5 linked regions of the Sus scrofa genome follow. The protein of the gene in region 4 purifies or fractionates together with the protein of the main gene of each other region. This does not show direct contact. Links are inferred from orthologs where the notes say so. Each region holds a gene or a part of one and is shown on either strand. Other genes may lie near its edges.

Evidence for each region.
Region 1: the proteins of LYAR (region 4) and GTPBP4 purify together in Homo sapiens (co-immunoprecipitation; 3 studies listed by BioGRID and IntAct, with this or other methods). This does not show direct contact. The link is inferred for Sus scrofa from reciprocal best matches to the Homo sapiens genes LYAR and GTPBP4.
Region 2: the proteins of LYAR (region 4) and MYBBP1A purify together in Homo sapiens (affinity purification with mass spectrometry; 3 studies listed by BioGRID and IntAct, with this or other methods). This does not show direct contact. The link is inferred for Sus scrofa from reciprocal best matches to the Homo sapiens genes LYAR and MYBBP1A.
Region 3: the proteins of LYAR (region 4) and RRP1B purify together in Homo sapiens (co-immunoprecipitation; 3 studies listed by IntAct, with this or other methods). This does not show direct contact. The link is inferred for Sus scrofa from reciprocal best matches to the Homo sapiens genes LYAR and RRP1B.
Region 5: the proteins of LYAR (region 4) and GNL2 purify together in Homo sapiens (affinity purification with mass spectrometry; 3 studies listed by BioGRID and IntAct, with this or other methods). This does not show direct contact. The link is inferred for Sus scrofa from reciprocal best matches to the Homo sapiens genes LYAR and GNL2.

What each region holds. Positions count from the first base shown.
Region 1 is NC_010452.4:68,562,475-68,568,848, reverse strand, and holds the start of GTPBP4 (nucleolar GTP-binding protein 1), read left to right. Parts: upstream 1-2,900; 5' UTR 2,901-2,908; coding exon 2,909-2,956; intron 2,957-5,204; coding exon 5,205-5,375; intron 5,376-6,281; coding exon 6,282-6,374. Other genes in the region: uncharacterized protein LOC106505222, read left to right, coding at 1-334, 668-819, 2,652-2,900. UniProt on the Homo sapiens protein: Involved in the biogenesis of the 60S ribosomal subunit. Acts as a TP53 repressor, preventing TP53 stabilization and cell cycle arrest.
Region 2 is NC_010454.4:50,502,597-50,508,756, reverse strand, and holds the start of MYBBP1A (myb-binding protein 1A), read left to right. Parts: upstream 1-2,680; 5' UTR 2,681-2,729; coding exon 2,730-2,936; intron 2,937-3,154; coding exon 3,155-3,253; intron 3,254-3,906; coding exon 3,907-3,990; intron 3,991-4,078; coding exon 4,079-4,153; intron 4,154-4,254; coding exon 4,255-4,362; intron 4,363-5,921; coding exon 5,922-6,097; intron 6,098-6,160. Other genes in the region: GGT6 (gamma-glutamyltransferase 6), read left to right, coding at 1-849. UniProt on the Homo sapiens protein: May activate or repress transcription via interactions with sequence specific DNA-binding proteins. Repression may be mediated at least in part by histone deacetylase activity (HDAC activity).
Region 3 is NC_010455.5:206,626,731-206,633,003, forward strand, and holds the start of RRP1B (ribosomal RNA processing protein 1 homolog B), read left to right. Parts: upstream 1-2,445; 5' UTR 2,446-2,518; coding exon 2,519-2,648; intron 2,649-6,273. Other genes in the region: HSF2BP (heat shock factor 2-binding protein), read right to left, coding at 1-55, 1,034-1,069. UniProt on the Homo sapiens protein: Positively regulates DNA damage-induced apoptosis by acting as a transcriptional coactivator of proapoptotic target genes of the transcriptional activator E2F1.
Region 4 is NC_010450.4:6,083,578-6,089,179, forward strand, and holds part of LYAR (cell growth-regulating nucleolar protein), read left to right. Parts: intron 1-2,887; 5' UTR 2,888-2,944; coding exon 2,945-3,066; intron 3,067-4,248; coding exon 4,249-4,363; intron 4,364-5,602. UniProt on the Homo sapiens protein: Plays a role in the maintenance of the appropriate processing of 47S/45S pre-rRNA to 32S/30S pre-rRNAs and their subsequent processing to produce 18S and 28S rRNAs. Also acts at the level of transcription regulation.
Region 5 is NC_010448.4:93,624,029-93,629,630, forward strand, and holds part of GNL2 (nucleolar GTP-binding protein 2), read right to left. Parts: intron 5,295-5,602; coding exon 5,166-5,294; intron 3,685-5,165; coding exon 3,580-3,684; intron 2,779-3,579; coding exon 2,620-2,778; intron 2,319-2,619; coding exon 2,205-2,318; intron 386-2,204; coding exon 1-385. UniProt on the Homo sapiens protein: GTPase that associates with pre-60S ribosomal subunits in the nucleolus and is required for their nuclear export and maturation.

The sequences.
Region 1 (6,374 bases), on a different chromosome or scaffold from region 4:
CTGTTTTATAAGTGGTTTGAGGCCCTGGAGTCCTGCACATTGCCCCGACGTCGTCGGTACGCGCCGGGCGTCTGCTGCCCCCTGCAGTCTGCCTGCCCTGGTGGCCGTGTCTCCGCCCAGCTCCTTCCGGAGCTCCTGGCCTCCTCGCCGGCCTCCTGCTGCTCTGGCCTCTGTGTCGCTCGTTCCTATTTGCCCATATCCACGCTGTGCCCGTTCTCTGCCCACCGCTGTCTCCAGGAAGCTGACCCTGCAGACGGGGTCACCTCGGCTCGGTGGCATCAGCCACCCCTGGGGTCACAGGAAGGCGCGGGGAGCAGAGAGGAGAGGCTGCCAGGTGCTGGTCCTCTCCTGTCCTCTAGGCTGAGTGTGGGCCTCACGGCCTGAGAGGGGTGAACAGAAAAGGGTTTAACGCCCGCCCCTCAAGATGTTTGGCTGAAGTTCAGGTTTTGTTGTTCAGTAGAGAACTATGACACGTCTTCTATGTTGCGCAGTGTTTGCCCTACTGGTTGAGCGTCCGTCTGGGACGCACCTGCCGTGGCGGCTCCGGTGGTGAGCGTTGCTACTGCTGGCAAATGAGTCCGTTCCTGCTGTTTCCTCGCACGTCCTGTCCTGTGAGAATTTCTGGCCAATGAATCGAGGCTCCAGCATCAAACTCTCTTTTCCCCAGTGGAGCCTGGTGGGATTTACCGGAGCAGCCTGGCTCCCTCTGCGACCCTCCCTCCAGAACAGCGGCCCTGTGACTCCGGGAGGGCGCAGCTCACCAGAGAACAACACGATGCTGAGACCCGGGTACTGTTTGTCACCGCAGCACACAGACTGGTAAGTAAATATTATGTTTGTAACTCGGAGCGAAGAGTGGTGAGGTCACGTAGCTTGCTCTTGCTGCACGAGTCAGTGTCAGGCTGGCACAGACGCTTTAAATGTCCACTCTTTGGGAAACTGAGATTTTGCTAGAACCTCATGCTTTCCTCATGCGGAGCGTCACAGCCAGTAGTTGACTTGTGCCAACAACATCCTGTCCTCAGAACCTAGGTTCTTGCCTTTTTCACCCTGAAGGTGGGCAGCTCAGCCTGCTTTCTTTAACCCCGAGAGCTCAGGCGTCTGTTCGACATGGAGCTTGTGAGTCTCTGGGTGTCGCGCAGAATGTTCATCTCAAGAGATTCTGCCTGTCGATGGTTAGAATCATTTGGAAATTAATCATGTGAGCATAAGTACACAGATTCCAAAACTTTTGTTATCACCTTGTGTTGGCTCTTAGAAAAGAGCCTGAGGATCTTCAGCAAACCTCAGGTTCCTAGACAAGCAAACAAACACCGGAGCTCCGGTCGTGGCGCAGTGGTTAACGAATCCGACTGGGAACCATGAGGTTGCGGGTTCGATCCCTGCCCTTGCTCAGTGGGTTAAGGATCCGGCGTTGCCGTGAGCTGTGGTGTAGGTCGCAGACGCGGCTCGGATCCCGCGTTGCTGTGGCTCTGGCCTAGGCTGGTGGCTGCAGCTCCGATTCGACCCCTAACCTGGGAACCTCCATGTGCCGAAGGAGCGGCCCAAGAAACAGCAAAAAGACAAAAAAAAAGAAGAGGAAGAAAGTGGAGCCTCGGACCTTTGAAGGAGAGGCTCCCTCCCACCGCACAGCAAGAAGGCACTGTCTGCGAGCCTGGAAAAGGGCCCTCAGCAGAGGGCGGCCCTGCCGGCACCCTGAACGTGGACTTCCAGGCTCCAGAGCTGGGAGGAGCGACCACAGTGGTTTCAGCCGCCCCGTCGGTGGTGTTCAGCTCCAGCAGCCCAGGCTCAGACGCCACATCACGGCATTAGGGTGATTCCTCTTCTCCCGAGTGTCCGGTGTCTCGTTGAAGGAGAACCGCAACCTCGAACCTTTCACCTCTTTGCCCTTCGGTGGGTGCTCTTCATGAGCAGCCACTTCAGCAAACACACACAGGCAGACCCCCGAGCAGCCACTTCAGCAAACACACACAGGCAGACCCCCGGCGGGCGGACCTGCGCGCGTCCCCAGTCACGGTGGCACTGCCAACCTAGGTGGCGGCAGAGAGCGCCCCCAGCCCGCCGAGCGAGAGCAGCACGGGGGTGGGATGGGGGGGGTGGGGGTTGTGGGGGTGAGCGGCCCCGGCCCCCGTGTCGCTGCAGCAGTTTTCAGCCGTGGGGCTTGCCGTCGGAAGCTCAGGGCCGCTGGCTGGGAGGCACGTCGGAGGACCGCAGCCCCAGGCCACTCCCGATTCAGGCTGGCAGGTAGCGCCGGCCGGGGTGGGGTCGCGAGCGCGGACCCAGACGCGCGGGGCGACGCGTCCCTCCTCCGCAGCCGACTCCGCCCGCGCCCATCAGTCGCGCTGACAAGGGGACCGGCGGCAGGAGCGCTCAAAGCGCAGACCCGCGCGCCCCCTGCCTTCCGCTCACCCCGCCAGCGGCCGTCACCCCGACCCCGAGACCCCCGGGACCCTGAGTTCCGAGACCCTGGGCCCCCTAAGGCTCCCGGGGTCCCCCGAGCCTTCCAAACACCTCTGACCACCCCCTCGACACTCGCAGGCTCCCGGGACCCCCGGGACCCCCCGAGCCGGGCCAGACAGGGCTCGCGGCCGGGCCTTGAGCCCAACAGCCGCCGGGCCTCCAGGGAGGCCTCTCAGGACCCGCTCCTTTAGCGGCAGGAAGGAGCTTCGGCGCCGCCTCTCCCCACCGAACGTGCCCCGCCTCCCGCGCTCCCTCAGTCCCCCGGCCCCGCGACCCTCCTCCGGCCGGGAGGGGGCGCCGAGCAACGGCGAGACCATCCGTCGGCACAGGGGGAGCCCGGAAGTGACGCGCAGCCGGCGGAAGTCCCGTCCGCCCGGGCGGAAGTCCCGCCCTCGCCGCCCACCCTGGCGGAAGTCCGGACCGCTGTCCCTCGTGGCTAGTCGCAGGCATGGCGCATTACAACTTCAAGAAGATTACGGTGGTGCCGTCCGCGAAGGTAGGCGGCCCTGGGGTCTTCTGCCCTCGCCTTTCTTGGCCGGGGCGCGGGAAAGTGGGGCGGGCGGTCTGTAATGCTGAACAGAGAGAGGTCGACTTCCCCCCCCACCCAGGCCCCCTTCTTAGGCCGTGTTCTCTCGGAATTAGGGCCCCCAGGTTAGGGTCCCGCCAGAGGTGGGGGTCCTTCCCCAGAGGTTTGGGCCCCCTGGGGGTTAGGGTCCTCCATCAGACCTTAGGGTTCCTCCAGAGAAGACGGAGAGTCAGGGAGAACGTCAATGGAGCCTGTAGCTTTTGAACTGGTCCCTAAGGATTCGTAGACAGCCAGGTGGAGGAGGGGTGGAGGTCCCTCCCGGTGCTCCTGACATTATTGCAGGAATTTGTCTGCTCGTGTCTGTCAGTAATCACCTTACATCCCTTAGGAAATAAATAGTGGCTTTTGGTTTTACCTGTTTATCTTATGCACTTTCAAAGCCAAAGGTGTGCAAGTTGAAATAGAACTGTTTCTCTTTTTAAAAGAAAGTTTCGCCTTTTAATTTCATTTTATTTTAAAGTTCTCTTTATGGTTAGGATTACAAAAAAAAAAATAGTTCCTCTAAAACTTGAGATACTTAAAATTGTAGAGCGAAAGTCCAGCTCACTATACATCACCCACTTTTTTTGGCTTTCATTAGTAGATTCAGTCGGTGTTTATAAAATTGCATTCTAACCATTCACTTAAATATTTTTTTCCCATTGGTCATGAAGTATTTGAGACCAGCTATCATGTCTTATTCAGCTATTATATTCCTTGTGGTTTGTTTTTTGTTTTTTTTTGTTTTTTGTTTTTTTTTTTTGCTTTTTAGGGCCACACCTGTGGCCAGTGGAAGTTCACAGGCAAGGGGATGAATCAGAGCTGTAGCTGCTGCCCTACACAACAGCTCAGGGCAACGCCAGATCCTTAACCCACTGAGCAAGGCCAGGGATTGAACCAGAATCCTCATGGATTCTAGTCGGATTCACTTCCGCTGTGCCACAACAGGAACTCCTAATAAACTCCTAGAGCTGGGTCAGGGATCCAGCACTGCCATGAGCTGTGGTGTAGGTTGCAGATGGGGCTCGGATCTGGCGTTGCTGTGGCTGTGGTGTAGTCCATCAGCTGCAGCTCCGATTCAACCCCTAACCTGGGAACCTCCATATGCCACGGACGTAGTAATGTGTATATATCGGTTCCAACCCCCAATTTATCCCTTCCCCCCACCTTTCCCCTTTGGTAAACATAATTTTGGCTTTGACATCTTTGAGTCTGTTTTTGTTTTGTAAGTTCTCTTGTATCATTTTTATTAGATTCCACATATTATTGATCTTATGTATTTGTCACTCTATTTCTCTCATTGATCTCAATTATTTTAAGATATTTTTTCTGATTTATGCTTGAGTAGTTTGGCTACTTAAAGTTTCAGGGGTTCTTAGGTATTTGGAAATTAGGATAATGTCAGGTAAGCATGGGATAAAATTTATTTTAGCAGCTGTTTGCTGACTGTTTCTTAAAGACCAGGAACTATGAAGATCAGCAAGGTTTTATGTTGAAAATTTAGTTGGGAAAATGGTTTGTGATTTAAAATATATAGTATTATTATGGAGTTCCCATCGTGGCGCAGCAGAAACGAATCCAACTAGGAACCATGAGGTTGCAGGTTTGATTCCTGGCCTCGCTCAGTGGGTTAAGGATCTGGCATTGCTGTGAGCTATGATATAAGTTGCAGATGGGGCTCGGATCTGGCATTGCTGTGGTGTAGGCCAGTGGCTACAGCTCCAATTAGACCCCTAGCCTGGGAACCTCCGTATGCCACGGGTGTGACCCTAAAAAGACGAAAAGACCAAAAAATAGGAGTTCCTGTTGTGGCGCAGTGGTTAACAAATCCTACTAGGAACCATGAGGTTGCGGGTTAGATCCCTGGCCTTGCTCAGTGGGTTAAGGATCCAGCGTTGCCCTGAGCTTCGGTGTAGGTCGAAGACGCAGCTCGAATCCTGCGTTGCTATGGCTCTGGTGTAGGCCGGTAGCTACGGCTCCGATTCGACCCCTAGCCTGGGAATCTCCATATGCTGCGGGAGCAGCCCTAGAAAAGGTAAAAAGACAAAAAAAAAAAAAACCAAAAAAAATAAAATGAAACATACAGCATCATTAAATTTTAATCTTTTAGGACAGTTTCACGTAAGTGGATGAAAGTAGACTTTTTGGTGTAACTGTGTCTTACTTTATTTAATTGCAGGACTTTATTGACCTGACATTGTCGAAGACTCAACGAAAGACTCCAACGGTTATTCATAAACATTACCAGATCCATCGCATCAGACATTTTTATATGAGGAAAGTCAAGTTTACTCAGCAGAATTACCATGACAGACTCTCGCAGATTCTGACGGATTTCCCCAAATTGGATGTACGTGACCGAGGGTCATAAGCGATTATGTAAATGTGAACCCTCAGACTGTCAGGATTAAACCAGGCTGGGTGCTCATTTGACAGATAACAAAGGAAGGAGGAAACGATGGATCTGTCGGAGGAGTTCACCTGCTGAGTTAGTGGCAGACCTCGGAACTGAACACAGGTCCTTTGGTTCCCCGTCTAACTCCATCTGAGGCCCAGAGCCTGGTCTCAAGGCTTTGTAACCTCTGAGTTTATGGGGTTCGGCTGAGCTCTCTAAAAGCTATGGGCCCAAAGCCCGCAGTGCTGTGGTCTCACTGGCTTGTCTGCTTCCCCTGCCCCCTTTTTCCAAGGCTCCTTTTCCTGTGGCCTCAAGTTGGGACAGTGGCCTGAGGCTCACCAGCATTTGTGATCTTGTTGCTTCATCACCTAATGGCAGCCAGTGTGCTTTCTTTTTTCAAAAAAAAAATTCATGGTTGCACCCGTGGCATGTAGACATTCCTGGGCCAGGATTGAATCTGAACCACAGCTGAGACCTGTGCCACAGCTGCAGCCATGCCAGGTCTTTAACCTACTGTGCTGGGCTGGGGATAGATTTTTTTTTTTTTTTTTCCTGAGGCATGTGGAAGTTCCCAGGGGAGAGATCAAATCTGAGCTGCAGCTGCCGGACTGCGCCACAGCCACGGCAACGCCAGATTGAAACTGCGTCTGCGACCTACACCACAGCTCACGGCCATGGGGGATCCTTAACCCACTGAGCGAGGCCAGGGATCAAATCCACATCCTCATGGATACTAGTCAGGACGAGCCCACTGAGCCACTCCTGCAGTGAGGTGCTGCAGTGGGAATTCCTTCAAGTATTTTTCACACATAGGAATGAGACACTCCTGTGCCAAAATGACCGCTTTGTTTTTCTTTGTAGGATATTCATCCATTTTATGCTGATCTGATGAACATTCTGTATGACAAGGATCATTACAAATTGGCTCTAGGACAGATAAACATTGCCAAAAAT
Region 2 (6,160 bases), on a different chromosome or scaffold from region 4:
GAGGGCTTCCTGGTGGACGCACCCTTGGCCAGGGCTCTGGCAGCCCAGGGCCCAAAGGGCATCTGTCCACTCCTTTGCCAGATGGACGGGATGCCCCTGGGCCCTGGGGCCCGTGCCACCAACCCCAAACTGGCAGCTGTGCTCCGCAGGGCTGCCCTGGCCCGCACCCCGGACCTTGCTGGAGAGGCTCTACTGAGTCTGCTGGCCAGAGACCTGGGGCTGGAGGGCCCCTCAGCCAGGCCCATGCCCACCCTGGAGCCGGCACTGCAGCTCCCTGTGTCCCAGGGCACCGTGTTCACCACCCCCAGCCCCTCAGCTGGCCCGGAACTGCTGGAACTAATAGAGGCAGCCCTTCACTCAGAAGGACCCAGCCCCAACCCCTGCCCACCACTCCCACCAGCCGCTGTGACCCCCATGAGCAGTGTCCTCGCCACCGTGGACAGCAGCGGCTCGGTGCTGCTTCTCACCTCCTCTCTCAACAGCTCCTTTGGCTCTGGACACTTGTCCCCAAGCACCGGGGTTCTACTCAGCAACCTAGTGGCCAAGTCTGCAACTAGTGCCTGGGCGTGTCCCCTCATCCTTCGTGGTAGCCCAGATGACCCAGAGACCGATGTGTTGGGGCTGGTGGCTTCAGGGACCCCCACAGTGACCAGAGTCATGTCTCACGCCCTGCTCAGCCACCTGGCCAGGCCCCAAACCCAGGCTCAGCACCCGCACCAGACCCAGCAAGGACCAACAGGGAGCCTCAGAGCTTGTGGCCACGCAACCCTACTCCAGGTGGCAGCCCACTCAGAGCACTCCCATGTCTCCAGTGTCCCCGGGGGCTGCTGCCCCTTCCAGGGGTTTTAAGGAGGGGGCAGTGTTGGGCAGGTGGGAGTCTCCAACCTGGAGGCAGGGGCAGAGCAGGCCCAGCAGCGATGGTGTGCATAAAGAGCATGCATGGCGTGTGCACTCACTGATGGCTCAGGACCTGGTCAGTTGCCTGGACTCGAGTTCCAAATCTTTTATCAGCTACGGAGCCTAAGGACGATGAGGAACGAATACCAGGGCTAGCGTTTGGATCCAGTCTGGGTAGGACAGGTGGGAGAATGCCATGCCCCAATGCCCCCATGCCCCCAGCCTGGGCTCTGAGCCCCTGGGCAGAGCAGACAGAGCCTGGGCATTGCTGGCATGTCCATTCTCCCCTTCAGGCCACAGCTGCTAATCTCCCTCGAGAGGGCTGGGAACAAAATAAAGATCAAGTCTCCTGGCTCTCATGTGCCCTTCCTGCTGCTTGGTTAATTTCACATCAGCTTTTGAGGTGCCTGTGGTCCAGGCTTCGCCCACAGATGCAGAGCTGGTGCCTGGTGATTTTTTGCTCCCCCCCTGTTCTGCTTACCTTCTGCCTCCTGAGGCACCATGTGTACAAAGTAAACTGCTTATTCACATTTTCTTTTTTTTCTTTTTGTCTTTTTGCCTTTTCTAGGGCTGCTCCCGCAGCATATGGACGTTCCCAGGCTAGAGGTCAAATCGGAGCTGCAGCTGCCGGCCTACGCCAGAGCCACAGCAACGTGGGATCCGAGCAGCGTCTGCAACCTACACCACAGCTCACGGCAACACCGGATCCCCAACCCACCGAGCAAGGCCAGGGATCGAACCTGCAACCTCATGGTTCCTAGTCAGATTCGTTAACCGCTAGCACCACAAAGGAAACTCCCAACTGCTTATTCACATTTTCTGAAACAGACAGCAGAGGGAGGGGTTGAGAGGGTGAGTAGGAGGTGCCCCGGGGGCCACAAAAGGGGCCGGATCTGGGTAGCCAAGGCCCTCCCCTCCCTGCCTCCCTAAGGGCTGGGGTCTCTCTGAACTATAACCCTCTAGAGACAGCTTGTCAAGCCAAGAAATAGGGGTGGCCAGTAGCTCTCCTCTCCTGCACTGTAAACGGTATCTCTGATCTAAGAGGACTTTTGATCCCACCACCTCTCCCTCCTTGCTCCCCCCACAAACACTAGTTCCCCCAGCTCAGTAAATGATATCACAGTCTACCCACTTTCTTTGTTTTTCTTTTTTTAGGGGCCACACCTCCAGAATATGGAAGTTCCCAGGACAGGGGTCAAATCGGAGGGAGCTGCAGCTGCCGGTCTACATCACAGCCACAGCAACGTCAGATCCAAGATGTGTCTGTGACTTAAAGCCTCCGCTTTCGGCAACACCAGATCCTTAACCCATTGGATGAGGCCAGGGACCAAACCTGCATCCTCACGGATATTAGTCAGATTCTTAAGCCACTGAGCTACAAGGGGAACTCTCACAATCTACCCACTTATTTTGGCCCCAAACCTATCATCCTTCTCTTTTTCATCACCTTCTACCAGCTCCAAATTAGCTGGAATTTTCTCATATTACCTTGGTCCAATCCACCACTGTGCAACTGGTCTTCCTGCTTCCACCCCTGCTCTCCTGCAATCCATCCCCCACACAAAGAAGACTAGTCTGCTAAAAGTATGGATAGGATCAAGACTTGTCCCTGCATAAAACCCTCCAATGACTTCCTATTACAATCAGAATAAAATCCAAACTCCTGAGCTCCCTGAGTGAGCGCGGAAGGGCCCAGCCGCCCCCGGCCCGGCCCGGCCCCGCCCTTTCCCCCGCCCCCAACCGGCTCCGCCCCCAGCCGACCCAACCCAGTGCGCACGCGCCGCGACCTGACCCGGAAGAGGCAGTCTTCAGGTCCCACGTGTTCCACGAGCATGGCGGAGACGGAGAGTATGGACGTCGCTGAGCCTGTGTCTCCGGTGGAGGTCCCGAAGACGGGCGCCGGGCCTGCCGACCGTCATGGTCTGCTGAAGCACAGCCGCGAGTTCTTGGACTTCTTCTGGGACATTGCGAAGCCGCAGCAGGAGACGCGGCTTGAGGCCACGGAGAAGCTGCTGGAGTATCTGCGCGCAAGGCCAAAGGTGTGGTGGCGGGGCCTGGGGCAGGAATCTGCGGGGCTTGGGGGCAGGAAGCTGCGTAGATCCCGGCAAAAATATGGCGGCGGGCCCCAGGACTCGGGACTGGGGTCATGGAGTCGCGAACCTGGAGGCCGAGGCGAATGCGCGCCGAAGCGCGAGGATGGGCGGGTGCCTGACGCGTCTTTTCCCTGGTGCACCTGGGGATGTGCTTGGTTCCTCAGGGATCGTCCGAGATGAAGTACGCCCTGAAGCGCCTAATCACCGGGCTCGGGGTCGGACGTGAAACAGCCCGGCCCTGCTACAGTCTGGCCCTAGCACAGGTGAGGTGGTGGCTCCCTGGAGGAGGCCAGCCATCCTACTCGGAGCGGTGGGGAGTGAGGAGGGCAGATACGGGGGAAGTGGCTGCTGAGAGGTTGTTGGGGTGGCGTCGGAGCTAATGGAGGGTGTCCCCACGTGGACGTGGAGAGAGTGTGTGAGCAAGATCTTTCTGCAGAGACGCCCAGGCAGGTGGAGTGGGAGGGTGAGTTTGCTTTTGAGTACATGGGTTCACCAACCACCAAGGTACATTTACTGTGGGCAGTAAGCTTTGGAGTGGGTTCACTTACCTTTTTAGGGTTCAGGGTCCGCCCCCCCCACTTGGCTAATTATAGGCCACCCAGTCCTTGTGGATCAGCCTGGGGGGAGCTCAGCAGGCTCTGGGGCAGAATGTCTCGGGGATCTCGGGGCACAGTCCAGGGGCTAAAGGAAGTACTTTCTGAAACAGGGAGGCAAGATTTCTCTCCATTCACTGCAGTGTTCCATCGTCAGCACTGCCCAGCATGGGGTGGGGCGTAGGCAGCTTTTGAGGCGTCCTTTGGATGGGAGCAGGGGCCCATGGACTCTGGGCAGAAGTTGAAGGGAGAAGTGGGAGGAGGTTGAGGTCTGAGGGATGTGGCTGGGCCGCTCCCCTGAGCCCCTCTCTTCCTCCTGGCAGCTGTTACAGTCTTTTGAAGACATCCCTCTCTGCAGCATCTTGCAGCAGATACAGGAGAAGTATAACCTGCAGAAGGTGAAGAAGGTGAGAATTAGTGGCCCCAGGGAAGTCGGCAGCCCCGGGGTGGGGAGCGCTTGGGCCCTTCTCACCAGTGCCTGGAATCCTTTTCCAGGGGATGATGAGACCAGCTCTCTTTGCAAACCTGTTTGGGGTGCTAGCCCTCTTTCAGTCAGGCAGGCTGGTGAAGGTAAGAGCCTTGGGGATCCCAGGGCGCGTGTGGACTAGCTTGGGAGTTGGAGGAGTGGCAGAGCCCTGTTGACACCCTGTCCCCTTCTGGGGGGGTCCCAGGACTCGGAGGTGCTGATGAAGTCGGTGAAGCTGCTGCAAGTCCTGGCTCAGCACTACAACCACCTGCAGGAGCAGCCCCAGAAGGCCCTGGTGGACATCCTTTCTGAGGTACTGGCTCACCAGCTTTGGGGCCTCTGATTGATAGCGCAGCCTGTTCCAGAACGTGGGGAAGACTCAAGTTAATGCCTGGAAGCAGGACTGTCCACAGATACATAAATGTGCACTGTGACACTTTGTAGTAACTAAGTTTAAAAAGTAAAAAGAAACAAGTATAGTTGAGTAGCATGTTTTATTTAACCTAGTATATCTGCAGTATCACTTTAGTCTGTAATCGGTATAAAAAGTTACAGAGGAGTCGTTCCAGTGTCCTGGCTCAGTGGAAATGAATCCAACTAGGAACCATGAGGGTGCAGGTTTGGTCCCTGGCCTTGCTCAGTGGGTTAAGGATCCGGCATTGCTGTGAGTTGTGGTGTAGGCTGGCAGGTGTAGCTCCAATTAGACCCCGAGCCTGGGAATCTCCATATGCTGCGGGTGTGGCCCTAAAAATACAAAGGACAAAAAAAAAAAAAAAGGTACGGAGGTAGTTGAGGAGTTCCCACCATGGCACAGAGGATTAAGAATCTGGCTGTAGCAGCTCGAGTTCCTGCGGAGGTGCAGGTTTGTTCCCCAGCCCGGTGCAGTGGATTAAAAGACCTGGCTTGCCACAGCTGTGGCTCGGTTTCAATCCCTGGCATGGGAACTTCCATATGCCACACACAGATGGCGGCCATAAAATTTTTTTCGAAAAAGATCTATAGGCCAGTAGCTGCAGCTCCATTTTGACCCCTGGCCCGGGAACAGCCCTTAAAAAAAGAAAAAAGCTGTAGAGGTATTTTATGGTTCCTCTCATGTTAAGTCTCCAAAACCCGGTATGCATTTTACACTGACAGCACGTGTCCATTCAGAATAGCGAATTCTAAGTGCTGTGTCCATGTGGGGCCAGTGGCTGCCATATTGGGTAGCAAGAGGGTGAAACCTGTTGGCCATTATTGTCTGGGTCGGAGCTGGCCCCTTCGGGGGGTCCCCACCACTCTGCTTGGGAAATGGAGGCGGACTAGGACCTAGAATCCTTTGCTGTTGGGGAAGAGGCAGGGACTGGCACGTCCCAGGCCAAGGCTTTCTTTACAGCCCCAGCCACAGAGCCAGAAGGACCCGGAGTTCGAATCCCAACTCTTCACTTGGAGCTCCTTGTATAAGAAGCAAGCTGGTCCTGGGAGTTCCCTGGTGGTTTAGTGGTTAGGACTTGGTGCTTTCACAAAGATCCTGCACCAAGCCGCTGTATGCCGCAGCCAGGGAGAAAGGAAGGAGGGAAGAAAAGGAAGAGGCTAATCCTGAAAGACTCAAAAGAGGAATGATCAAAAGGGCACACCTGGGCCAGTGAGCGCCAGAGAGGAGCTCGTTTAAACCTAGCTTCTGGGGCTTGGGGATTTGAGCTTTTTTAACAGATACCCTCTGGTCATGGTGTCTGATAGGTAGTTGTGACTGTTCCTCCTTGGGCTGGCACTGTACCAGGGGCCTTGTGGGAGCTGGGCAGGTGGAATGGGACCCAAAGGGCTCTCCCTGCAGGGGGAGGGACCAAGGGTGCCATGAGGGAGCCCCTCTCCCTCAACCAGTCCCCCCCACACCAGGTCCCTGAGGCCGTGTTGCAGGAGGTGCTGCCGAAGGTCCTCAAGACCGAGCTGAGTTCAGTTCTCGGCTCCCCTGAGCACCTGGAGCTGTTCCTCTTGGCCCAGCAGAAGGTGCCCAAGAAGCTGGAGAAGCTGATGGGACCGGTCAACCTGTTCTCAGATGAGAACATCCCCAGGTGCGAGGGAGCTGGCGGGTGGGCCCTCCAGCTTGGCTTCGTGCCACCGCCTGGGGGGAGGCT
Region 3 (6,273 bases), on a different chromosome or scaffold from region 4:
GGCGCTCCAGGTCCTTCTTCCTCACCCTGACAAACTCTTCCTTCGCCCCCACGAGCTGAAAGAGCAAGCGCATGTTGGCACCAGCGCGCTGCTCCTCCGACGGCCCAGCCAGCCGGGCAGCGGCCGCGTCCTTCCGGAAAGCCTCGGGCTCCCGGCTGCTGGGAAAGCGCGGCTTCCCCGGAGGAGCCCTCGGCCCCGCAATTCCGCCTCCCGAGTTTAAGCCCCGGCCTCGAATCGGCCTCGAATCGCCAGCCGATTTTTGTGTGTCTTTTTAGGGCCACACCCGCGGCACAGGGAGGTTCCCAGGCGAGGGTCCAGTCAGAGCTGCAGCTGCCGGTCTACACCGCAGCCACGCAGGACCCGAGCTGCGTCTGCGGCCTACAACGCCGGCTCCTTAACCCACTGAGCGCGGCCAGGGACCGACCGCAACCTCGCGGTGATGAGCCGGCTTGGTTTCCGCTGCGCCACGACGGGACCTCCGAGCCACTTTGTCAGGGCGAGCGAGGCCCCATTCCCGAAGGCCAAGGAACACGCCGGCAGCGCTCTCCTAGGCGCCAGCACCAAGCTTCCCAGGAGGAAAGGCCCTTCCCCCTGGGCGCCAAGCCCCGGGCTGACCACCCGGCCCCGCACTCGCAACCCGCCAGGAGACGGGCCGGGAGGCTGGGATCTCCCTGAACGCAGCTCCAGGGCGCGGCCGGAGGGGAGCTCCCGCTGGGGCGGCCGATTCGCCCCGACCCGCGCCCCGCCTGCCCCGCCTGCCTCAGGGCCGTGCGGGGGGGGCCCCCGGGGGGCGGCGCAGGGGCACCGGGGCACGGCCCCCGCCCATCCCGCGGCCCCCGCGCTTCCGGAGGCGGAGCCGCCGCCCCCCACCGCCGGCCCTGGCCACGCTGCCCGCAGACGACGTCCGGGGCCTCCCCGAGCCCCCGAGCAAGGCCCAGGCAGACCCCGCTGAGCGCGGGGGAGCCGAGGGCAAGAGCGCGAACTCGCGGGCGGCGGCCCGCGCCTCGGCACCGACCCGAGCCTCGGCACTGACCCGGCGCGGCTCCTCAGCGCCGCCAGCCTCGCCCATGGCGGCGCGGTCTCGGCTCCGTGCGCCTGCGCGGGCGCGCACGCGCGGACCCCTCACGCCGGCGAGCGCGGGAACGCGTCCACGCCGGGGTCAGGTACGGGGAGCCGCGAGGCTCAGACCTCGTAGAGCTTTCGCTGCATCGCGGTCCCCACGGGCCGGGGGTGTGGAGGCGAGATCCCGCGTGGGCTCGTCCGGCTTTGGCCGAGGTCGTAACTTGTTAACTGCAAAGAAGAACAGGGAGACCCACGTGTCAGTGTCCAGTGAAATCACTCGATTCGGGTCCTTGATGTTTGGCGAGGGGTGTTATTTAGACTAAGGGGCCATGCGTTCACGCGAAGCAGCCGCCGGCGGCCCCTCTCGCGCGCTCAGCTCCAAACTCCATTCGCGAAGGTCGAAGCTTTCTGACAACAGGCTCCGCCGGCGGCGGCGGCGGTGTCTGCCCCAGATAAGGGAGCCTCAGTCCGGCCAGCAGGTTAAGGAACTGAGACGACCCCATGGACTGGGAGACATCGTTTGGTCCATTCACTAGCCCCCATATGCCCACTGAGTTCGTAACATATGGTGCAAGCTCTGGGTTCAAAGGTACCGGTTACGGGAGTTCCCGTGGTGGCTCGGTGGTTAACGAATCTGACTAGGAACCATGAGGTTGCAGGTTCGATCCCTGGCCTCGCCCAGTGGGTTAAGGATCTGGCGTGGCCGTGAGCTGTGGTGTGGGTCCAAGACGCAGCTCGACCCCGAGTTGCCATGACTGTGGTGTAGGCCGGCGGCCATAGCTCCCATTAAACCCCTAGCCGGCGAACCTCCATATGCCGTGGGTGCGACCCTGGAAAAATACAAAAACACCAAAGAAAAAAAAAGGTACCGATTATCGCACAACTAGGACTTCTGTCCAAAGCCGGACACAAGCCGACACTGTCCGAGTGCCCGGAGTACGCGCTCTCCAGGCCCGCGGGTGCACGCACCAGCACACGCACCCAGTCCTCGCCCCGGCTCCGGGCGCCCCTCCAGCGGGCTGCCCGCAACCTCCCGCCAGAACCCCGTTCCCACCGCGGCCCGAGGAGGCCAACGTAAAAACCCGGTGCCGTGTATCTCCCGGGAACAGCTGCGGGTCGGTTGGATGGAGATTTTGTGAAGTGGGCAAGATTCCAGACCACGCAAAACTGGCCCTCCGTCTCTTCCCGGCCTACACCCAGCGCTGGCTAACCTCGCCCTCAACGGCCCGAGCCTTGGCGACCGAGAGGCAGCGGCGGCGGCGGAGAGGCGCGACGCGCACCGGAGGAGCGTCGCTCCGCCGGGGCCCGGCCCGCAGCTCGCGGAACGCTCTGCGAGCGGCGAGCGGCGCCTTTGTGACGTCATCAGCCCGCGCGCCGGCGCCTTCTGCGCAGTCGCGGCACGGCGGCGGGCGCTCGGCGGCGGCGGGCTGCGGCCGGGGATGCTCCAACGGGCGCGATGGCCCCCGCCATGCAGCCGGCCGAGATCCAGTTCGCTCAACGGCTGGCGTCCCACGAGAAGGGCATCCGAGACCGGGCGGTGAAGAAGCTGCGCCAGTACATCAGCGTGAAGACACAGAGGGAGACAGGTGGGCTCCCTGCGGTCCGCCGCGCACATGGCGGCCGGGGTGGGGGAGCGGGGGTGAGGGGAGGGAGCCGCGGTGGGGGGGGGGTCCTGGCGGGAGTGGGGGGCGGGCCCGGGGAGCCGCGGGCGGAGCGGGGAGAGCGTGCGGCACAGCCGTGTGCTTCTCTGTGTCCACTTCCTGCGGGGTCTCCACCGGTTCTCCGGTTGAGCGGCGGCGGCGGAGGGGGTTAGGTGGTCCGCTGAGGGTCCCGGTGAGCCGGAAAGCCGAGAACCGTCCCAGTCTGCCCTCCCAGAGCTTGCACGTGGGATCAGTGCACTCACCTGTTTGATTCTGGTGCGCTCTTCCTTGAGTCACGCCTTCAGTTGACCAGGACGGAGAAGTCCGAATCCCTACCCCCGAGGAATTTATCCCGGGAAATCTGGCGGGGGGGGGGGGGAATAGATAACTGAAACGGAACTCGTGTAAGTGGAGTAAAGGAAATGAAAACCGAGGAACGGGGAAGCTCCTCTCCAAAGACTGTTGCAGGGAGGCCTCTCGGGGTGATGTTCTCCAGATCTGAGCCGGGGCACGAATGAGGAGCTGGAAGAGCGGTAAGTGAGAGAGAGGGAGGGTGTTAGGACGCGAGTTGGGAAAGTAGGCAGTGGCCAGGTCACAGCGGGCTCTTCAGTTTGGGTTTTAACTGCAGCGGGGTGCCATTGAGGAATCGTATTTACCCGGTCCGGTGTAAACCTTTGAAGGCATGGATTACAGTGCGGTGAAGTTTTTTATTGCACTGAGGAAAAGTCCGATTTGCTGCTAGTGTTAATACATTGAGTCTGTTTTAAAGAATGGATGTCTCCCCCTGTGCTGATCGCTCAGTTAGCCTTCTTTTGAAGGCTTCTGGGAAAAAGAAGATAAACTCTCCTGGGAAGTCCTAGGAAGAGGAACGAAGCCAGACTTCCTGACTTCAAATCTGTTAGGGTCTTCCTGACAGACTTGATTTCCTCTTATTCCATAAATGTTGTGTGTTCCTAAACCGAACTTTCTAACCCAGACCTTTGCTGCTTGCAGCTCAGATATGCCCTTCCCACCTGGCACCTCCACCTGGATGTCCTCAGGCTTCAGAATGCCCCACAGAGGCTCATCTTCTTCTGCTCTTTTATTTTGGGCACTAGTTCCCATCCTCCACTCAGACTCCAGTTGGACGCAGGGTATATGGTCCTGGACGCCTCTTCCTCTTTTTGTCCCCCAGCCCTGCATCTAGTGTCCTTTGGTCGCATCTCCTAAATTTCTCTGCCCTTACTGAAGGCTCCTCCATCTCATCGAGGCTTTGACACGCTTACCTCCTAACTGATCTAACACCTGCATGTGTGCCCCCTTAAACCCACGCTCCATGAAACAGCCTGGCGCATCTTCCTGAAACAACTGTATCACCACCTTCCTGAAGTTCTGGCCTTGCTGGTGGTGACATGTCCTCCTCTGTCCCCCACCTCAGCCCCTGTGCGGCTGCTTCACACTGGGTCCTGGGCTACCGTACACCATTCCTCCACACTCTCCCACTTTCGCCTCTGTTCACTCTGAAAAGCTCCCCCGCCCACTTGATCCACTCACAGCAGTCAGTCCAGTATCGCTTTTCTGAAATGCCTTCCCTGTCCTCTCCCCCCACTTCTCTACAAGTCTGAAGTGTCTGATATGTCCCCATTGTGGCACTTAGCTTATCTGCTGATGTGTCGTTCTTCCCCCAAAATGCCGTAAGCCTCTGTCTGCTTCCTTAGCTGGAAGCGGGAGCACATCCCGAGGTCCCAGGGCTGCCAGGGCACAAGAACAGGAACCAGATGCAGAAGCACAGGGCTGAGGCAGCCGGACAGGACCCGGTGCTCAAAGCTCTGTGGGGAACAGGCTCTGGCTCTGAAGTGCTGAGGTGCTGCGGGGGCAGGAGGCCAGGGCATGCAGCGGTGCCCAGGGTCCTGCCTGGCGAGCGCCCATCACACCTCAAGCTGCTTCCTGTTAGACACCACATCCGCAGTCTGGGGAGCCGAGTGGGCCTCGAGGAAGGTAAACGCAAAGTGCATGTCGTAGGAGCTCCCTCGCAGCTCAGCGGGTTAAGGATCCAGCGTTGTCGCTGCTGTGGCTCTCGCCACAGCTGCGGTTGGGTTCGGGCCCTGGCCAGTGAACCTCCAAGTGCCGCGGGCACAACCAAAACTAAATAAGGTTTCGTTGACGGTGATGACGGGACGAAATAAACAAGATCCGTGCCACAGCTGTGCTCCATCAGAGTAGAAACAGGTGTGGAGGTAACTTGGCCTGACCTCTGAGTCTCACTAACAGGCTTAAGTTTTTGTATTTTGTTTTAGGCACAGTAAAGGCAGTGCGAAATGGCAGTCTTACTGTCTTTTAGCAACATAGATAGCTTTGATTTTTAGAAACAAATTGGAGTTCCTGTCATGGCTCAGCGGAAGCGAATCTGAGTAGCATCCATGAGGACTTGGGGTCAATCTGTGGCCTCGCGCTCAGTGGGTTAAGGATCCAGCATTGCCTTGAGTTGTGGTGTAGGTCGCAGACACAGCTCAGATCTGGTGTTGCTTTGCCCCTAAAAGAAAAGACAAAGAATAAAAATTTTAAAAAATCAACAAGCAATTGATTTGCGGCCAGTCGAGCCGACTGCTCTTTTCTTCGTGGGGCCTGCAGACAGCAGCCGTCTTGGGAGGGTGTGCAGCCTGTTGCCTGTACGGTTGCCCTAAGGGGCCTTGGACACAGCACTTTCCAGTGGACCTTTGTGACTGACATGCTGTCCCCAACCCAGGCTTCAGACAGGTATGCGCGGTGGCCAGGTCCCCGTTGGCCCCGTCCTCACGTGCATTTCTGTGCCCGCTCTCTTGGGACCACATGGGATGATGCCCACCAGGCAGGGAGCATGGGCCTCCGCGAGGGCTTGGCCGTGGGAGGCACTTTCCATCGTACACGTTCACATAGTGTATGTTTTTTTTTTTTTTTTACAATAAAAACGTGTTCTTACTGGTTGGAACTTGATAGAGCATCCAAGCCTTGCTGGTTTTCAGGGAAAAATGGAAGCACAGCTTCACGCGGGAGCCCTATGGAGGCACACGACCCCGCTCTGCTTCCCCAGCGGTTCCGTTCTCACGGGCATCCACCTGGGTCATCTCTTCAGGTCTCCGGGGGGGGGCGGGTCTGGTCTCCCTAAGGGGGGCAAGAGGATCCTGGCCTGTGGCAGGTGACCATCTGTTCTCGCACCAGCCCTGTGGCCAGGGGACTCTGGTGCTTTGGCACAAGCCAGCTGGCCGCTCTCTCCACTCGGGTGAGCCCAGCCCAGCCCACTGCCCCATCCCGGAGGCCTGTCCTAGAGGGGGACAGAGCAGCTGCTTGGCAGAAACCAGGAAGGCCCTGGAGCTGGCCTCATGCAGGAACTGGTGTCATTTAAGCCGTCTTTGCTCTTGAGTTCGTCAGTGTTCATGCTCTTTCAGTTTCGACATGAAGAGCTTTCTGAGCAAGTTTTAAAAGAAAGAGGTGGGCGGGCAGGAGGGACAGGCCGTGCTGACATGTTGGTAATCTCACACAGTTCTTCTTTCCATCAGGGGATATTTCAGATGTGTAGAAAGTGTGCCCAGGGCCTGGTGGCAGCATTTATTCA
Region 4 (5,602 bases):
TTTGCTGTAACACGTGTGGTCTCCTTGCCCAGGGTGGCCTGGCCCTAGGATAAAGACTTAGGGTGCTAGTGTTTTTAAATGAAAGGTCAAGACATATAAGACACCCGAGCCCAGGAGACAGGGTTCTCAAACGTCTTAATGCCGCATCTTTCCAGCTTTTCTAACAAATACGCATTTATCAAGAAACATCATCATTGAACGTTTGATTAAATTCATCCCACATTTATTTAGTCCTTTGAATGAGTTGAGTCTTTGGTTTTAGGCAATGCCAGCAGTCTTCAATTGGAGGGATTGCTTTGTAATTGTGTAGCCTTTCCACTTCTGAAATCGTTAAGCCTGCCCCAAGACTTGCCACACCCTGTCTACTGTGCCCTTAGGGTGGGTTTGAGCTGGCTCTAGTTTATAGCCCCTCCCTCCCACCACAGACTCAAGTATTTCCCCCCCTGGGCTGGATAAGCTCCTGACAGACCTGATCTTCTTAGCGGGCGGGCGGGAGGCCACCCTGCCCCTCTTCGAGATCAAGTATAAAAACGCAGCCCTGGCTCCGAGAATCCAGAGGAAGGCACTGTGAGACTGGGCTCTGACTCTCTGCGAGCCACCCATTCTACCTTAAAAAAATAAACCAACAGATTTCTAAATGTGAACATCTGCCACAAAAGACCAAGTGAGAGGGTTGGAGGGAGAGGTGTTCTTCCCACGGATGTGACCGCGTGTGGCTAATCCCCAGAGGAAAACGTGTTTCTCACATATTCCGGGCATCTTTTCGGTCAACATCTCTGGCTTCTTTCAGTTGATAGACGTAGTTTCCAGCTTGTCCCCCCGACCTTCCATCGCAGACTGCAGCTCCCTTCGGCATCTCAACGCTTGCCTTCCTCCTGTCCCCTCTCCCCTCCATCAAGACACAGAATAGACCCAGAAATGAGGGTTGGAAAGCTCTAGGCCATAGCTTCCATTTGACAGGTATTTTTTTCATTGTGGAACCTCGTTATGGAAGTACATTTTAAGTTTTGCAGCAGACAATTTGGCTCATCTTTGCAGCTGCTTCTGCCTTGTGTGTACAGTGACAGTCCATTTCTTGGTGACTGATGGTTTACGCTCCTGCTTAGGCCACAGTGCCCCTAGCGGCTGGTTCCTTCACCGTTGCGGTGTGGGCTCGTCTTCTGTCCTTTGTTCTCCTTGAGGGGGCGCTGGCTGCTCCTGACGCCTGCTGGTAACCGCCCCCATCAGTTCCCGTCCTGGCTCAGTTGTGGCCCAGCGGGTTAAGAATCCGTCTAGTATCCATGGGGATGTAGGTTTGATCCCTGGCCTGGCTCAGTGGGTTAAGGATCCAGCGTTGCTGTGAGCTGTGGTGTAGGTCGTAGTAGACTTGGCTTGCATCTGGCGTGGCTGTGGCCTAGGCCGGTGACTGCAGCCTGTGGTCTTGTCCGTGTGGCTCCCAGAACAGCCAGGTTTGCTTTCCTCTGGATTCCCTGCTAGGCTGTAGCTGATCACGTGTCCTCTCCTGCTAACCTACCCATGGTGAGCAGAGGAAGGGGTCCTGGGGTCAGGGGCCTGAGTTTTGTATGTAAAACAAAGTTTTTCCAGGTAAACTGCCCTCCAGCAGGGCCCCTGGGTGCAAGAGGCCTCCAGGAGAGACCCCCAGGGCGGGTCTTCTTTCACCCTGCAGCTGCAGCCAAGGAGGTACATTTCCATTCAAGGCGGAGTGCGTGGAAACAGCCCTGATCCTTGCTGCACTGTGCCCTCTGCGGCAGAGCCTCAGAGCCGGGGAGGGGGGTGGGGGAGATGGTGAATTCACGCAGGAGAATTCTCCACCAACTCATTCGTGCTGAAGCATCCACAGATGAAGTCCTAGCCTGAGACAGGTTATACTGTATCAGTTTACTTGATCCTGACCTTCGTGGTGGGGAAGCAAGTGCTGGGCCGGACGGTTGTTCTCCATACTTACAATGCAAAACGACAGCCGTCTTTCAGAACAAAGTGGTCGGGAGATGGCGTAACCCTGGAAATGTCCCCTGGCTTCTGGCATGCTTTCAGATGAAGTCATGTTTTGCTGAGCACACCTGTCTCCGTGAAACTTCTGAATGGGAGTTATGTGTATGTGAGGGCCCCCTTAGCCACGGGGCAGCGCTCGGGAGCCCTGGGTTTGGGGCGCCCTCCAGTGACCCAGCGCCCGGCCTAGGGACACCTGGATGTGAGCCAGTAAGGGGCCATAGCCATGCCCGTCCAGTCAAACCGAGGGGAGCGTCCTGCTCTAACACCTGTGGAGACATTGTTAGGCCTCTGTGGATGCTTTTTGTGCAGTTATTTTTAGGCCTCTTCTCCACTTTTAAACCTCCCCGTTTGCTGTGTCCTTATTGTATTTGGGGGCCTGAAATAGTCCGCAGCACATACCTCGGGGCATTAGAGAGAAAGAGGACACGTGTGTGCCCTTCAAGTTACTGGAAAAGGCAGGAGATTTCACTTGACGCGCCCCCAATGCTTCATCTCCAGCGCCAGCCCACAAAGTGTAAGTCCTGGTTCTGCCCCTGTGCCACCTTGGGTCAGTTACTTAACCTCTCTGAGTCCCAGGACCTCGTGTAAGGTGTGAGCCTCGGTAGTCCCTCCCTCAGGGGTTGCTGCGAGGGTTAAATTGGTTGGTTAGTGCTTGTTAAGCTCTTAGACTAGGGCCCGGCATGAATTACTTCACACACACAAGTGTTAGCCATGTTGTTGATAATTTTACTTGCTGTGGTGGTGGAGTTTTATGTGGATTGCTGTTCAACTTTGGTTCTGTTCTGGTGTTATTTTCCGATGAAAAGTTAGCTGTGTGAATCATATATTTTGGAATAGAAGTTTCAGATTGCAATGATAATTACCTTTTTTCCTTTTTAATTTTTTTTTTCCCTAGAACAAGACTTAAAACCTGTCTTGGATAAGAAATATTTAATCAATCATTTAGCTAAAAATGGTATTTTTTACATGCAATGCATGCGGTGAATCAGTGAAGAAAATACAAGTGGAAAAGCATGTGGCTCTTTGCAGAAACTGTGAATGTCTTTCCTGCATCGACTGCGGTCAAGACTTCTGGTGAGTTCCAGAGGGTTCGTGTAGCTCCATGGTCAAGGTCCAGGCCAGTTTGGAAGCCCTGGACCCACAAAGCATTAAAAAAAAGTGGAGGCAAACTTGAGGAAAGAAATGAAGGGAAAAAATTACAAGTGCCTTACAAGACCATTTGCTTTTAAGGGTGATTTACAGAGATGACTCGGGTTCGTTTGGAGATCTGGTCGGCCGGTGGCACTTGCTGTCATTTCCCTGCGGCCCTCCAGATCCAGGGAGGGGACCACGTGGAGTAAGGTTTCAGGGTTTCAGGGCATGGTGTGGCGATCGCAGCCGAGAGATGGACGTGCAGACCAGAAAATGAGTTTATTCAATCATTAAATCATGAGAGAGGAGACCAGGTCCTCCCGAGAAAATTGGAGGTCGTGTTGGCCGGGAGTGCGTGGGGGGCTCTGGCTGAGGGGTCTTGGGGAGGGGCCAGGTCTTGCTCTTGTTTGGGGGGGCCATTTGCTGATGGCTCGCCTCCCTCTCGTGCGGGTTCCTTCCAGCTTCAGAGGATTCGGGGATGGCAGCCTCTGGGGCACGTGGGGGATGTTTGCTAAGAGTCCCTTTAAGTTCATTGTAAAGCAGTGATTTTTTTTTTTTTAAGTTTGGAAACTACTAAGGTCTTTGTTCATCCCTGATCGTAGGCGGAGGGTGGGGAAGACAAGTGAACACAGGGTTGGTTTTCGTCGGGGGCTTTGGCCTCAGCCTTGTCCCAGCATTTCCCAGAGGATGGCACAGAGCTTCAGAAAGAGCGTGTGAGACAGAACCCAAGTTTCCTTTTGTCCCAAGACTCCAAGATCCAGGACTTTTTTGTGACCTGATATCACCGCCCTTTTAACTTACTCTGCAACTGGTATTGATTGCCTATCATATTGCCAGGAAATCCTACGGATTTTGTCATTTAAGATAACGCCACCCTATTGCCTATCAGTGATTTTAACACCTTTGTATATGAAAATGGGTGGCAAGTTTGGTGACGGGTTTGGAACAGTGGGGAGGAAGGAAACTGGTATGACCAAGAGGTTATCTGCCTGGTACGTGACAGAGATGGGGGGCCGGGCCGCGCACAGATGGGAAGGTGAGCTGCACGGCAGAAGGGCAGCATGCTTGCGCTGGACAGAGCCTCTGGTTTGAGGATCACTAATGGTGGGACTTTGACACTTTAAGGGGTGACGACTACAAAAACCATGTGAAATGCATAAGTGAAGATCAGAAGTATGGCGGCAAAGGGTATGAAGGCAAAACCCACAAAGGCGACGCTAAGCAGCAGGCGTGGCTTCAGGTAAGGTCTTTCTAATGCCTCAAGTAGCTTCATCTGTCATCTTCTACTTTCCTTGGAAGCCTAAGAAATGAGGAAAAATGTATCATTTAGAATGGATAAGCAATGAGGTCCTCCTGCATAGCACAGGGAACTATATCCAGTCGCTTGGGATAGACCCTGATGGAAGATGATATAAGAAAAGGAATGTATTGAGTTCCCATTGTGGCTCAGCGGTTAACGAATCTGACTAGGAACCATGAGGTTGCGGGTTCGATCCCTGGCCTTGCTCAGTGGGTTAAGGATCCGGCGTTGCCATGAGCTGTGGTGTGGGTCACAGACACGGCTCAGATCCCGAGTTACTGTGGCTCCGGCGTAGGCCGGCAGCTACAGCTCTGATTAGACCCCTAGTCTGGGAGCCTCCATATGCCGCTGGAGCGGCCCCAGAAAAGGCAAAAAGACAAAAAAAAAGAAAAAAGGAATGTATGTATATGTGTGACTGGATCACTTTGCTGTACAGCAGAAGTTGGCACAACATTGCAAATCAACTATAATTTATCATCCGTGTATCATGCCTCAGGATAGTTCTTTTTTGTTTGTTTGTTTTTTTAGGGCTGAACCCATGGCATATGGAAGTTCCCAGGCTAGGGTCGAATCCAAGCTGCAGCTGGCGGCCTACACCACAGCCACAGCGATGCCAGATCCAAGCCTACGTCTGTGACCTACACCACAGCTCACGGCAACACCGGCTCTTTAACCCACTGAGCAAGGCCAGGGATCGAACCGGAGTCCTCATGGATACTAGTCAGATTCATTTCCACTGCGCCACAATGGGAACTCCCAGGATGGAGTTCTTTATTCCTCTTTCAGTACAGGTGCAGTGTATTTTGTCTTTGTTGCACACGTTTTGCTGATTTCTTGCAAAAATGTTTCCAAATTGTCACTAACTTTCCCTTGGCAATGGAACAGACACTTCTTAATCCGCACCTGCGTCTGATGGCGGTGCACCTTTTATCACTCAAACCCTGTTAATCCGGACGTCTGACAGTCATCAGAATCCGGCAACATAAAGACTTTTCCTAAGTATGAGGAATTTTCCATTTCTAAAACAAAATGAAAACATACAGTGAAAGTGGCGAAAGCAATGAAATCCGTGATTTACTAAGAGGTATAACTTCCAGAATGTTACTTACCATATACAAAATAGTAACTGGAGGAAAGATTCAGAAGGGAAGGCAGGAGAATGAAAAGACAAATGCTATC
Region 5 (5,602 bases), on a different chromosome or scaffold from region 4:
CTTGAATGACGGCCTTGGTGCTGCTCCCCGTGTGTTCTTCCTGGGCTTCTGTGAAAGGCTCTTCGTCAGTGTCTTCTTGGGGCTCCTGTTCCTCCTCCTCCTCCCTCTCCCCAGAGAGGCTCTCCAGCTCTTCCTCGATATCGGACATCTCCAGGGGAACCAGGTCGTCCCCCGAAAACTGAGGCACGACATTGATCTTGCCGAAGTTCTGCCGGACCCGCGCAAGGATCTGTTGCATTTCTGCGTCAGCGCCGCACTGGCCAGGCTCCTCTTCCTTCTTCTCAAGGCCGGGTTCTGACCCTCCACCTCCAGATTCTGGGGTTTCCTCTTCTGTGTTGTTCTGGGCTGTTTCTGGGGCAACTTCCAAAGTCGAGGCGGACGGAAGCTACTTAGGCCAAAAAGGGGTGGGAGCACGGGGAGAAACGGAGTCAGAAAACAAAACCCGAATGTCTGAACTTACACACTTTGCTCTTAAATGAGGTAGTTCTCCTCTCAGGCCCAAGGGAAAGGATGGAAAACGCCGGCATCTGAGTCATCCTGTTAGATCTATTCTGAGCCAACATACATTAAACCCTGAGCCCAGCACTGAAGGGTCAGAGGAACACAGCTGGGGTCCCAAAGAATGCACCAACCCCAAGAGTATTTCACCATCAACACCAACCAACGACACCCTGCAGGAGGCGAGATTCCCTATGTCCCCGAGGATCGCGAGGAATGGGGTTGCCAAGGAAAGCACAGCCAGGCTGAGTACACCCCACAGGCTGAGGGTAGGCACTGAGGCGGCACTGGGAAGGGAGGGTGTGAAGGAGGGGCCGTCCCGGGAGGACTGAGAATGAGCCCTGAGGTGGGAACGGGTAAGAAAGAGGCTGAGAGCTGGGGCCTCCCCTTCAGGGAAGGGTGAGCAGGCCTGGCACTGCGGCTTCACATAGGCAATATTCTCATAATATTAATATTACGAGAATATTATGAATATTCTTATAATATTAATATTACGAGAATATTATGAATATTCTTCCCCATTGTATTCTCGTAACTGAGACTCACAGAACTCAAGGAATTTTTCCCCAAGGTGGGGTGGCTGCTCAAAGCACTGAATGCATAAGGAAGCCATGAAACTCAGGAGATTGCACACACAGTTCGTGTGCGCCTTGTCATCCATTTCGCGGGCAGAAGCTGGTAGTGATAGCTTTCGGATGCTCGAGGGGGTTTCTGCCACCACCAAGAGCAAAAGGCAAGAGTCACAGAGTGGGGGAGCTAGTCACCTAACCCCAATGACTAGACACACAGCAAGAGTTAGAGAAAACTCTGCCGCTTCCACACAGCGTCACAAGGGAGCAGAGATGGGCCTCCTCAGACCCAGAGGCTTCCGCCGTCACTCGGTGCTCCCGAGCCCGCCAGGGGGCGGCCCCATGACTTCTTCTAGAACCAGACAGGTCAGACTGGCTCCACCTCAGGTGCACTGGGTCCACTGCTCCTGATGCCTGGAACACTCTCCCCTCCGCATCTATGTGGCTCCTGCCTCAGATCACTAAGGTCTCCGCTGCAAGGTCACTTCCTTCTCAGAGGCCGTCCTGACCACCCCGCTTACAAAAGCCCTCCTTTGCCCCCCATAAATCCTTCGCCCTGTCTTAGTTGCCCTCACAGCAATCGGTATTTCCTGACACTATACGCTTATTTGTTTACTACCTGTCTCCCTGCAGTATAAATAAAAATAAGTATTTGATGGCCAAAGACATGAAAAAAATGCTCAAATCACTAATTATTAGAGAAATGCAAATCAAAACTGAGGTACCACCCCATACTAGTCAGAAAGGCCATGATTAAAAATGGCCATTGTCACAAATAACAAATAAGAAATGCTGGGGAAGGTGTGGAGACAGGGACCCTCCAACACTGTGGGTGGGAATGTAACTTCGAACAGCTACTATGGAAAACAGGACCGAAGTCCCTCAGAAAACTTAGATATTCCTAAAATAGAGTTACCATATGATCCTGCAATCCCATCCCTGGGCACATATCCAGACACAACTACAATTCAAAGATGCATGCAGCCCTATGTTCAGAGCAGCACTGTTCACAGCAACCAAGACATGCAAACCTCACTGCGCGGAAAGACCTACCCCAGAGGAAGAGACGGCAGTCCAAAGACACCACACCAGGTCGGTGCCCTCGCTTTCCCAGAGGCAGGTCCACCCTGTTCTTACCTGGGGGGTGGCCGGGGGCTCAGCATTGGGCGGCTTGACAAAGAAAGGAATCCGGCCCCTCTGCCAGTCATTGAGGACCATCTTCCCCACGGTCCGCAGGTCGGGCTCTCCACCCTGAAACGTCACAGGGAGATGCCCAATTAGATCCAAACAGCATAATCAGAGTTCCCTGCGGGCCTAGTGGTTAAGGACATGGCAACGTCGCGCTGTGGAACAGGTCTGATCCCTGGCCCGGGAACTTCTGCATCCTGGCTGTCCCAGTTGTTCACCACCATCTATTGCCAAGTCCCACACTTCAAACTCCTCAAACATGCATATCAAAAAATGGTCCTTACCTCCCCCCTCCACACCCCGCCGCCCCCTGTGCCTGCGGCTCGCCACAGTCTGAATTCTCACAATTCTCAGTCTGGTTCACCTTTAATAACTTCCCTGTCCGGAAAGCCAGCTTCTCAAGAAAGTCCTCAGCATTCTCCCAAGAATCGATCTTGTACGTCTTGCTGATATATTCTGGCTTTGCTCGTTCAAGTACAGCACCAATGTGGTCTTCAGGAGTCTTAATTTTTTCAACTTGAACCTAGACATTGATGGGAAATCTCTTGCTTACAAACTTTATTATGGAAGCAGTGAAGCTCCCCAGTGTGCTCTGTAACAACATCTGAAAAGAGATTTCAACACCTCAAAGCAAGTGGGGCCTGGCAGGAGCCTGTCACCGAGGTGGCACGATGGTCGGTCGGCTGAAAGGAGCACCACAGAAAGCTGACCCCGGCACAGGACCATGAACTCAGCTCAAATCGCAGCGCACCACAACCCAACTGTGCAGCTTCCGCAAGCAGTTTCAACTTGGGGTGCTTCATGCTACTAACTCGCGGAAATGGTTGAAAGTCTGCTGGTCCCAGGACACGGAGAGAATGGCATAGTTTAAGACAGGAGGGGAGGAACGGGCACAGGATGTATAGCCAGAAGCCCCGGTTAAGGTTAAGTGGACCCATTTAAAGCGCTTGGTCGTCTTCAGAAACAAGTGAGGAAATGACTGAGTTCCAACATGACTCAACCCATAAACCCACGAAGATGAATTATCGCTAAACATAAACAGGCCCTGCTTCCCTCTGGGTCCCGTGTGTAAACTCCAAACTCTTTTGTGGGATGACATTGACCAGATATGCCCATGGTTCCACTAACTCCTCAAACAGGCTTAAGTGGAATGGAGAGGCCGCCCTGTTCAGTGTCATGTTCCTCAAGTTTGGTCAGACAGGCTGACCCCAAACTGTCTGCTGAATGAGTACAAAGCAAAGGTATCCAGCGTCTCCCACAGAATGCTCCCCCGCCCCCCGCCACCAAAGGCAAACAAAGAACCTCTGGGGACCAAAATACTCACGACTCCTTTCAGCACGATGTCCGTCTCTGAGTCCTCGGAGGGGTAGACCACACCCGGACAGTCGATGAGGAAGATCCGCCGCATCAAGGTGATATACTGCCAGACCTAAGGCGGGAAGGGTTGACGCCTGATGCGCATGAAGCTGCGGTGTGTGTGTGTACAATGCCAGACCTAAGGCAGGAAAGATGAGGCTGGCAGGGGGGTGGGTGTGGGTCAGGGAGGAGGTGTGTGTGTGTGTGTGTGTAGCAACCTGCCCAGGGAGGAGGTGTGTGTGTGTGTGTGTGTGTAGCAACCTGCCCAGGGAGGAGGTGTGTGTGTGTGTGTAGCAACCTGCCCAGGGAGGAGGTGTGTGTGTGTGTGTGTGTGTGTGTGTGTGTGTGTGTGTGTGTAGCAACCTGCCCAGGGAGGAGGTGTGTGTGTGTGTAGCAACCTGCCCAGGGAGGAGGTGTGTGTGTGTGTGTGTGTGTGTGTGTGTAGCAACCTGCCCAGGGACCAAGACCCTCTTCTATCTGTGCTATGCATGAGGCCCTTCCACAAAGCACAAACTACAGTTACTAGAAATGATGCAAAGGCAGGATCTCCACAGAGAATCATGCAATCGCGTCCAGCAAAGCTTTCTCTGATTCTGAAAAGTACTCCTGGATGTCTGACACTGCTTGGCCCCTGTTCTTTCAGCAGAACCAGGCGCTCCCCAAACACTCCATGTTCCCAGGTAGGGCCCTCAACTTGCCAAAATCCACCAGAATGCCGTTTTCTTTCTTAACCCAGGCATCAAATATCTTTGGGTTAGTTTTTTCTTTGTCTTTTGTCTTTTTTTTGTTGTTGTTATTTCTTGGGCCGCTCCCTCGGCATATGGAGGTTCCCAGGCTAGGGGTTGAATCGGAGCTGTAGCCACCAGCCTATGCCAGAGCCACAGCAACGCGGGATCCGAGCTGCGTCTGCAACCTACACCACAGCTCACGGCAACGCTGGATCGTTAACCCACTGAGCAAGGGCAGGGACCGAACCCGCAACCTCATGGTTCCTAGTCGGATTCGTTAACCACTGCGCCACGACGGGAACTCCTGGATTAGTTTTTATGTTTGTTTGTTTTTTAGGCCTGCACCAGTGGCATATGGAGGTTCCCAGGCTAGGGGTCTAATCGGAGCTACAGCTGCCGGCCTACACCACAGCCACAGCAACTCTGGATCCAAGCCTCATCTGCAACCTACACAACAGCTCACGGCAGTACTGAATCCTTAACCCACTGAGCAAGGCCAGGGATTGAACCCACAACCTCACAGTTCCTAGTCGGATTCGTTTCCACTGTGCCACGATGGGAACTCCTTTGGGTTAGTTTTGTTTATCAAAGTAAAAGGCTGGAGTGACAATCTGACATAGACTCCAATGGCACATACCACATCATGCCAAAGGCATGCCGTGGCACACAAACTACTCTTAGTCTTATCACAACGGGCAGAAACCGCTCCTAAAGGCCCAATGGTGAGCTTCATCCAGGAGAAGCAGATAGAAATCTCCACATCCTGCATGATCACCCTCCATGGAAATAAAACATGTGCAAGTAAGACCCTCGGAGCCAGATGTACCTTTGTTTCACCTGCGATGGGGGCCACGTTGCAAACTTTCTTGGAGCGCAGCGTGTTTATCACAGAGCTCTTGCCAACATTGGGATAGCCGATGAACCCCACGCTGATCTGCTTCTTGTCAGTGTGCAACTGTTCAGAAAAAAAAAAAAAAAAAACCACCTTCACGCAGCCTGACTATCCCTGGGGACAAACAGGCTGTGTTCCCTGGCTAAGATAAAGAATACAGCACAAAACTAGAGCTACAATGTGATTTAAAGCCCAGACGAGCACCACCTGCTTTGTCGGAGTGGGATGCATACATACACCCATCAATAAATCAGAGATGAGTCAGCTCCCCAGTCACTCGTGTAAAATTATTCTTGCAAGTTTTAAGGTTAAAAGAATGTAGGCTGGGAAACAGGAGGAAACAGCTTGTTAACGAGTGATTTAGAAGCACA